Kluyveromyces lactis: one gene and its partner. The protein of the gene in region 2 interacts with the protein of the main gene of each other region in a biochemical or structural test. Links are inferred from orthologs where the notes say so. Each region holds a gene or a part of one and is shown on either strand. Other genes may lie near its edges. The genes, in order: TCO89 and KOG1.

Evidence for each region.
Region 1: the proteins of KOG1 (region 2) and TCO89 form a complex in vitro, tested with the Saccharomyces cerevisiae proteins (2 studies listed by BioGRID). The link is inferred for Kluyveromyces lactis from reciprocal best matches to the Saccharomyces cerevisiae genes KOG1 and TCO89.

What each region holds. Positions count from the first base shown.
Region 1 is NC_006041.1:1,673,356-1,677,229, reverse strand, and holds TCO89 (Tco89p), read right to left. Parts: upstream 2,799-3,874; coding exon 630-2,798; downstream 1-629. Other genes in the region: PAN2 (poly(A)-specific ribonuclease), read left to right, coding at 1-354; VPS45 (Vps45p), read left to right, coding at 3,156-3,874. UniProt on the Saccharomyces cerevisiae protein: Component of TORC1, which regulates multiple cellular processes to control cell growth in response to environmental signals. Nutrient limitation and environmental stress signals cause inactivation of TORC1.
Region 2 is NC_006037.1:829,291-833,224, forward strand, and holds the start of KOG1 (ubiquitin-binding TORC1 subunit KOG1), read right to left. Parts: upstream 2,495-3,934; coding exon 1-2,494. Other genes in the region: Elongator subunit IKI1, read left to right, coding at 3,140-3,934. UniProt on the Saccharomyces cerevisiae protein: Component of TORC1, which regulates multiple cellular processes to control cell growth in response to environmental signals. Nutrient limitation and environmental stress signals cause inactivation of TORC1.

The DNA of each region.
Region 1 (3,874 bases), on a different chromosome or scaffold from region 2:
GTCTTTTACAGAAAAATGTGGTTACTACTTCAATTGGGATGTGTTTTTGTAGGACATGGATTAACCAATGATTTCAGACAGATCAATATATATGTCCCAGAATCTCAAATTAGAGACACGTCGTTGTATTATTTAAAAGGGAAAAGATATCTTTCTCTACGTTATTTGGCGTTCGCGGTTTTGAGAAAACAGGTGCAAACAGGAAATCATGACTCCATCGAAGACGCACATACTGCGTTGTTACTTTATAGAAAGTATTTGGAGCTAAAGGAGAAGGGTGTATTTGAAATGTATCTAGAGAACATTTATGATGAAGGAAGAAAGTTCGGCTTCAAAGTTCCTGACACGATTTGACGTAGTGATATAAAATCTTCTAAATAATACGTTTATAAATGTGCGGAATATATGCTATCTGGAAAATGACAAGATACTATTTGACAACCTAATACCTCATGTTCGATTTATATTTTGATAAATAGCTTCAATAATTCATTAAGATTATTGTTTTTTATTCTGAAAGTTACATTTAAAGTTTATATCTTAAAGTGAAACTTCTTAGAGAATGATGAAAATACTACAATATGTCGAGTGCATATCCGAAATGCTTGTGAATGCATATATACTTCTGTTTACACATGCTGTTGGTTCAAAACATGCTCCATTCTTCTATTTACTGCCCTAGTAGTGGGATGCAACGAGTTTACTGCTCTTTGATGTTGAGAACTGGACATCCGGGATGGACGGGTGTTTCGATAGGTACCGGGGTGCTGCACTGTCATGAGTTCAGGATTTGATTGAACTAGAGGATTTTCGTCCTTATTAAATTCTAATGTATTGCTGTTCCAAAGTTTGGTGAGCATACGTTGCATTTCCAACTTATTGGCAGTTGAGTTAGTTTCCTTGGATGATTTACCCTTGTCGTAATCGACTCCGAAGAAGCTTCCTGCGTTCTCACCCGTGCTAATTTTCTTTTGTTTTTGTATTTCAATACTTTGTTGTTGCGATATTCTGCTCAAAGAATCTGCCAACGGATTAGAGAATCTTCTAACATTAGTGTATTCTCTAGAAATTCTTTCAAATTCTCTTCTCACCTCCACATTCGAGGCCAAGAACACTGCATCAGGAGAGGTGTTTTGACTGCTTAGATCTTGTATTGAATTTTCTCTTTGCAACCATAACTTTTGTTGTGTTCTTGAGTCAGTTCCGACGTCTCCGTATTGCAAAAATGACGAGAAATCTGTCATGCCATTACCGCTGGTATCATTCTCACTGTACGATGGTTGCCGATAGAGTGATTGCTGCCGTGGACGTGACTGAGATACAGTGTTCGCACGTAAAAGATGGTCGCGTGAAACGGGCCTTGTCAAATGACTGGTTAAACTGGATATAGCTGTAGAAAAGTCGGCCTTCGATTGTTTCGGCTGCTGTTCTTGATGGCGCGGAGGAGATGGCTGATCAATATTGTCATTTTTCAACGAAGCTGCCAAATCTTGATTGATATAGTTAAATTTATTGGATTTTGTATTCTGTATCTTGAGAGATTTATCGTTATTATTTTCGGCTGGGTCGAGCCATGCTAACGAACTCTGACGAGATAATTGATCAAATCTTCTTTCCATTCCGGTAGACTGAGATAGAATCATATCAGGAACGTATTGTTCCGTTCCTTGTGTTTCAGAGTCGATATTAGAACCATTCAGAGCAGTGTTGTTGCTATCAGGAATCATATTGCCATTCTTACTGGAGGAGGAACTGTCATTACTATGGGGATCCTCAGGAAACTGTTCATCAGTTACAGCGCCAGCTTTTGCGAATGAATATCGCTTAGGATCATCACTACCAATATCCTCATTTGCTTTTTCGTTTGTTGCTGTATGTGTAATTCCGTCAATAATATCTTCTTCAGTATAACGACGCACTCCTTCATCGACGGCAGTGTTCGCTGCTATAATATCCTCATGCTCCGTAGTTTCCACATTATAAGATTTCTGCAGATTACCGTTTCCATTATTGAAATCAAACATATGTTGCCTGTGGCGTCTTAGACTATTCGTGTTCGATATAGTGTCCTGATTGCCAGGGTCAATAAGGTCATCTTCCCTGTCAGGAGCGTCAATTTTGTCATTATCCATTGGGCTCACAGCTCTTGATGAAATATGATCATCATCTGCATCAACTCTGTTTCTAAGCCGTGACGGTGGTTTATAGCTCAATGGCCTTTGTAGAGGTCTACCAGAATCCACTCTTAACCCAGCTCTGTCCTGAAAATCATTGATGCTATGCATCGAGTTCCTCTGAGTTGTTGAATTTTTGCCCGTTCCATTTATTGTCTCATCATCTGATGCATCATCTCCTTCTATATCGGTGAAAGACTCTACCTCTTCATCAGTCATAGAATCGTTATCCCCAGAATCGTGAAGATCTAGGATGACGGACTTGGAGTTCCTATCACTAATTAGGCCCTTATGCTTCATGCTGTGACTATTCTGGTGTAGCACAACTGGATGAGATGATGTTCTTACCAATGCCGTCATACTGAGACCACTGTGTACCGTGCGTCTGTTCAATGAGTCCGAACTCTTCGATTTCTTCATAGGATCGAAAAGTCCTCTATTCAATGCATCGTGGCTTCCTACCTTGTGTAATTTCTGTAAGTTCTTGAAACTGGTGTTGCTCTTGCTCCTAGATTTTGCAGAGAACTGTTTAGGTTTTCCATGTCCTTTCTTCTGCTTCATATACTGTGATAGACTGGTATCTGAATTAGTCTTCACAGGCTTCACACGGGAAATTGTGGCCATTGTTGTAAAGAATAGCCAGTAGCCTCAACTTAAGAATTATTACCTTGACTGTACAGAATTGTGGAAAAATTGCTATTTCCCACCTAAATGTAAAGTTTGGAATCACAGGCTATAGCAAGATTGTTGTTCCTGTGTTTGTTTGTAGTTAAACAAAGATGGATTGATGTGTGCCAGAATCTTAGTTTCAACTCTTTTTGAAAATAAGTATTAAAGGAGAAATGACCTTAAACTTTTGCATGGAACAAAGTAGCAGTGAGAAACGGTAGATTAAGGCTGCTGTAGCGCGTGCCAACGGTGAATCAGCAATTAAGATATCCAAGTTCTTTTGAAATTGAGAGGATAGAGCACTTTTTCGTAATGAATTTGTTTACGGTTGGTGATTATTATATCAGCAGAATCGCAAATTTCCAGTCCAAACCGTCGGACACCTCGATACAGGAGAAGTCGAGAGTAAAGGCATTGATTTTGGATAATGACACACTCTCTACGATATCGATGTGTACTACTCAAACCGAGCTATTAAAGCACGAGATTTACTTGGTCGATAAACTTGAGAATATTCACAGAGATCCAATGCCACATTTGAAATGTTTATGCTATTTGAAACCCACTGAGGATACGATTCAAGACCTATTACACGAATTACAGGATCCCAAGTATGGCGAATACCAGATTTTCTTCAATAACCAGGTGAGTAAGTCCCAGTTGGAACGGTTAGCCGAAAGAGATGATATGGAGGTTGTCACACATGTAGAAGAAGTTTTCCAAGACTACCTAATTGTGAACGAGGATGTCTTCACTTTAGAGATCCCGTTGTACAATCTTCTCCAAAATCAATTGGTATGGGATCCAAAGGGATTGCAGGAGACGTCTAACGGGTTAATCTCATTGCTACTATCGTTAAAACTAAATCCGACAATTGCGTATGACTCGGATAGCAAATTGTGTCAAAAGTTAGCTAAGGATTTAGAGTATGAAATTAAGACAAATGAAAGGCAGTTATTTGATTTTCCCGTCAGAGATTCGAATCCGTTACTAATTTTACTTGACAGGAAATCGGATCCATTGACACCATT
Region 2 (3,934 bases):
GCTGTATGTGATGCGTACTATTCTGTTGATTTCCCTGTTGCTGCTGCTGCTGCTGGTTTTGTTGAGATTGCAAAAGCTGCAGCTGCGCTTGGAATTGTTGTAATTGTTGCTGAAATTCTTGTTGGAGTTTCAAGATAATGTTAACATCGTCTTCTTCAGAAAGGAAGTACTTGATTGCTAATAACGCAGCACATCTGATCTCTGGAATTGGATCTTTTAAAGACTCTATGATTGTATTCATATTTTCATTTTCGAGGCATAATGTCTTATGCAATGGATTGTGAATGTATAACTGACCAAGTAAAATGATACACCACTGTCTTAATAACGGAACTTCAGAATTTTCGATAAAGAAGCATAACTTGTTTACTAATTCAGTGCTGAAACAGTGTTTTTGACCAAGGGGGAAATCGCGAACAAAGCACGATAGGACAAATGCTGCCATTGCCTTTTGTTCATCTGTAGTATTATTGTTAGATAATAACGTCGCGTTATTATATGCTTGCTGCTGCTGCTGCTGTTGATACATCTGGTACCTCTGTGTTGAAGAACTTGCAGGTACATTCATAGTCAAGGGACTTCCAGCACTACTGACACTATGTCCTCTTGGGACACCAAACTCAGGTACAAGCATCTTTACAAAGTATTGGTATCCACGCTCCTTTATAAGTTCTGTTTGGGTATTTTTATAGTCAATAGAAAAAATTCTAGCCCAAATGAACACTAGAATTGGTTTCAACTCATGGGCAGGACTTTGTAGCAGTTTGGAAACATAAGGGAATATCCCAATTGAAAGTGATAGGTATACAGCCCATGGTCCAAGATCAAGAAATCTAGATAGCAGTACCAAAGTCCTAACACGATGGACTTGTGATAAGAGAACCTGTAGTACTATGGGGAGCTGCTCAGGTGGATGTCTTGAATTAGCCCCATATTTCACCCATAAATCAAATGCGGTTAAATTTTGCTCAAAAAATTTCGTAAATTGTTGCTGTTGTTGTTGAGAGGTAGTCGGGTGCGAGGCTGAATTACCGCTGGAGGTATGTGCTGTTGAACTAAAGTTTACCAATGACATGGAGCTCAGGTTTCCAATAGTATTTTTCGATTGCAGCCCGTCATTGGTTTCATTGCCTTCGTTTGGTTGGCTTATAAACTGTGATTCAGGGAAGTTTGAATTCTTTGCATTAGCATGAGCACTTTCCAGAAGTTTGGTCAATACTTCGTCGATTGCTAGATCCCACGATCTCCACATTGGATGATCAGCAATTGAGTCTGGTAACTCTGGGTCTGATACTGGATGACAATTGTACCAAGGCATTATTCTTTTGGCGAGTAAAAAGTTACGAAATAATGCCGCGACCATGAGGTCATGTCTGAATAGCTTCTTAAATAGTGCTCTTGGTAATGATGTCCATGCAATGGTATCTGTAATAGCAGTAAATATCCAATTCAATTCACCAAGGGGAGTCCTACGCTCAGACAATTTCCCCGGTATCGTAATGTTAGGCATTTCATTCACACCCGTCTCTTTTCTTCTAGGATCGTTATCTTGGAAGAACACGGAATATTTGGTGTCTTTCAAAGGAGATTGCATTAGAAACACCTTAACAGATATTTCTATTGGATTCGTTAGACAACAGGTGAAAAAATCTGCGGGTAATTCAGGGTTCATGGGCAATAATTCGTTGTTTGCACATGACGCTAATTGCACACATTCAGTGTATGCTTCTGTAGGTGAAGGTGATGCCATATCATGATTGCCTTCTCTATCGTCTCTCAATCTCTTTTGAACAAACTTTTTAAAGTTGGATACAATGTTACCAGCACTATTGCAATCCCAGACATATATACAAGGGGCTCCTAGCCAAGTTTGTAAATCATATAATGAAACCGGGATATACTGAGTATATCCACGGTTGAAAACCCAGATTTCTCCAGATGGTGTTGGTTGTGGTACACCATGACCGTTATAATGGAACAGAATTCTTTCGTCTTTCGAAGCCCTTCTCAATGAATTACAGAAGCGTTTCACATCTTCCACACAGGGATCTAAGCTCTGTTTATAACGAGTACGTAGTGATAGCGTCTCGTATTGACTCTGTAAGTTCTTTCCTATTTGTTCAATAGCTTTCTTAGAATCCTGAAATGCAAGGGGATCAACCCATGATTCAAGTCTTGCACATGGCTGAGTCTTAGTCACATCAGGAGGATCCACTCCCAAATTCAAACATAGTAATAATGCTGCTGCAACTGTCTTCTGCCTGTCCTTAACTATTTTCCAATCAGGAATTGGCTGGTAATATCCATCCTTATCCTCTTGCTTCACTTCCTCAGGAACTGGATTCCCATTGGTTCGATGCCTCTTATCATCGTAATAAAATATAAAATTGCTAGCATGCGCCTCCAAGAGTTTCTCACTTGAATACTGCTCTTCAAACCCATGTCTAGTCTCAGTATTAAGCCGTGTCAAAGGCTGTGGGCCGTAAACAACCATTGCTTCAGGATTGGTTCTATTCACAACTGGTTCTGATAAAAGTGGCAGTACCGGTCGATTCTGACAAAATTTAAACGCAGAAAATCGTACAAATAGTAATTACCTAACTGCTAGTCAATGAAGACTCGCTAAATTGACTTCAAACCCACTAAATGCTCTTCAAAAACCTTATCTTTCCAATCATTCCACACTTACTGACCAGTATCTGTATATGAGCTTACAGTATTTTTACGCAAACACTTTGAGTATATTGTTACCCGAATATTTTATATCAGGGTAACGTTGGGAAGATATCCAATAAAGTTATATCAACCACTTCAATACCCCCTCGATTGTAACCCAGATATTTAATAACCACAGTTTATCTAACTTTTACTGGTTTGCGCTTTCAAGTGCACTAAATGGGACCGTTATTGGATACTTTTATGTGTTTTTATTTTGATCTACGTTATAAATATGCAATTTCACATACCAAATGCTTGGTGAAATATTCACTTTGACAGGCGATGAGATGAGATAAGATCAAGGTTCATGCGGGGAACTAGTACTTATGAGTAGCCTGTTTTCATCTATTTCGACTGTTACAGCATTCTTTCAGGGTATCTGATCTATCACGAATATACTGCGTGCTCTTTATTCTCTGAGATGGCTTCTACTAATAATAATCCCAAAGTTCTATTGAAGAGGACGTTCTCACTGAAGGAACAATCTTCGCTAATACTATGTACCGATACGATGGCACAAAGCAGCCGATTTGTGGTTGAGGAATTCCTAGATAACATACCAGACGAAATGCCGATCGTTTTCGTATCATTTGAGACTCCAAATAGACCGAAATATGCACGCCAATTCATAGATGCGTCGGGGAAAACCACCCAGCAACTAGTTGCAGCATTACAACCATACCTACCGCAGCCACAGGAACAAGCTCCTAAGATGCATTTAGTGATCTTTGATACATTCAATTATATCGGTTCTGAAAGCTTGACACAATTCATATCTACCATTGCATCGCCATTTGTGACAATATTGGCTACATATCATCAGTCGATACCAGCCTGGCGTCCAGCAGAACTCCAGAACTATCCAACTGCGATCCAACTCTTGCAATTTATTGCTAATACGGTTATAGAAGTTACTCCGAAGACTTCCATAGACGAGGACGATTTGGATGCAGATTTAAGTAGATTTGTGATACCCAAGAACTTGAACAATCCCACATATTATATCACTCTAACGAACAAGCGAAAGTCCGGTAGGGCTATCAAGAATAAGTTCTTAATCAATTCGAAAACACATGATTATGAATATGTGATAGAGAAACAAGAACCAGTAACGGACGAAAGTCCAGAAATGTTTGAGGGTTTAACAACATTCAACTTGAACACTTCGGAGAAACAGAAGCTGGCAAAAGACCAAGTGGAATTGCCATATCTTGAA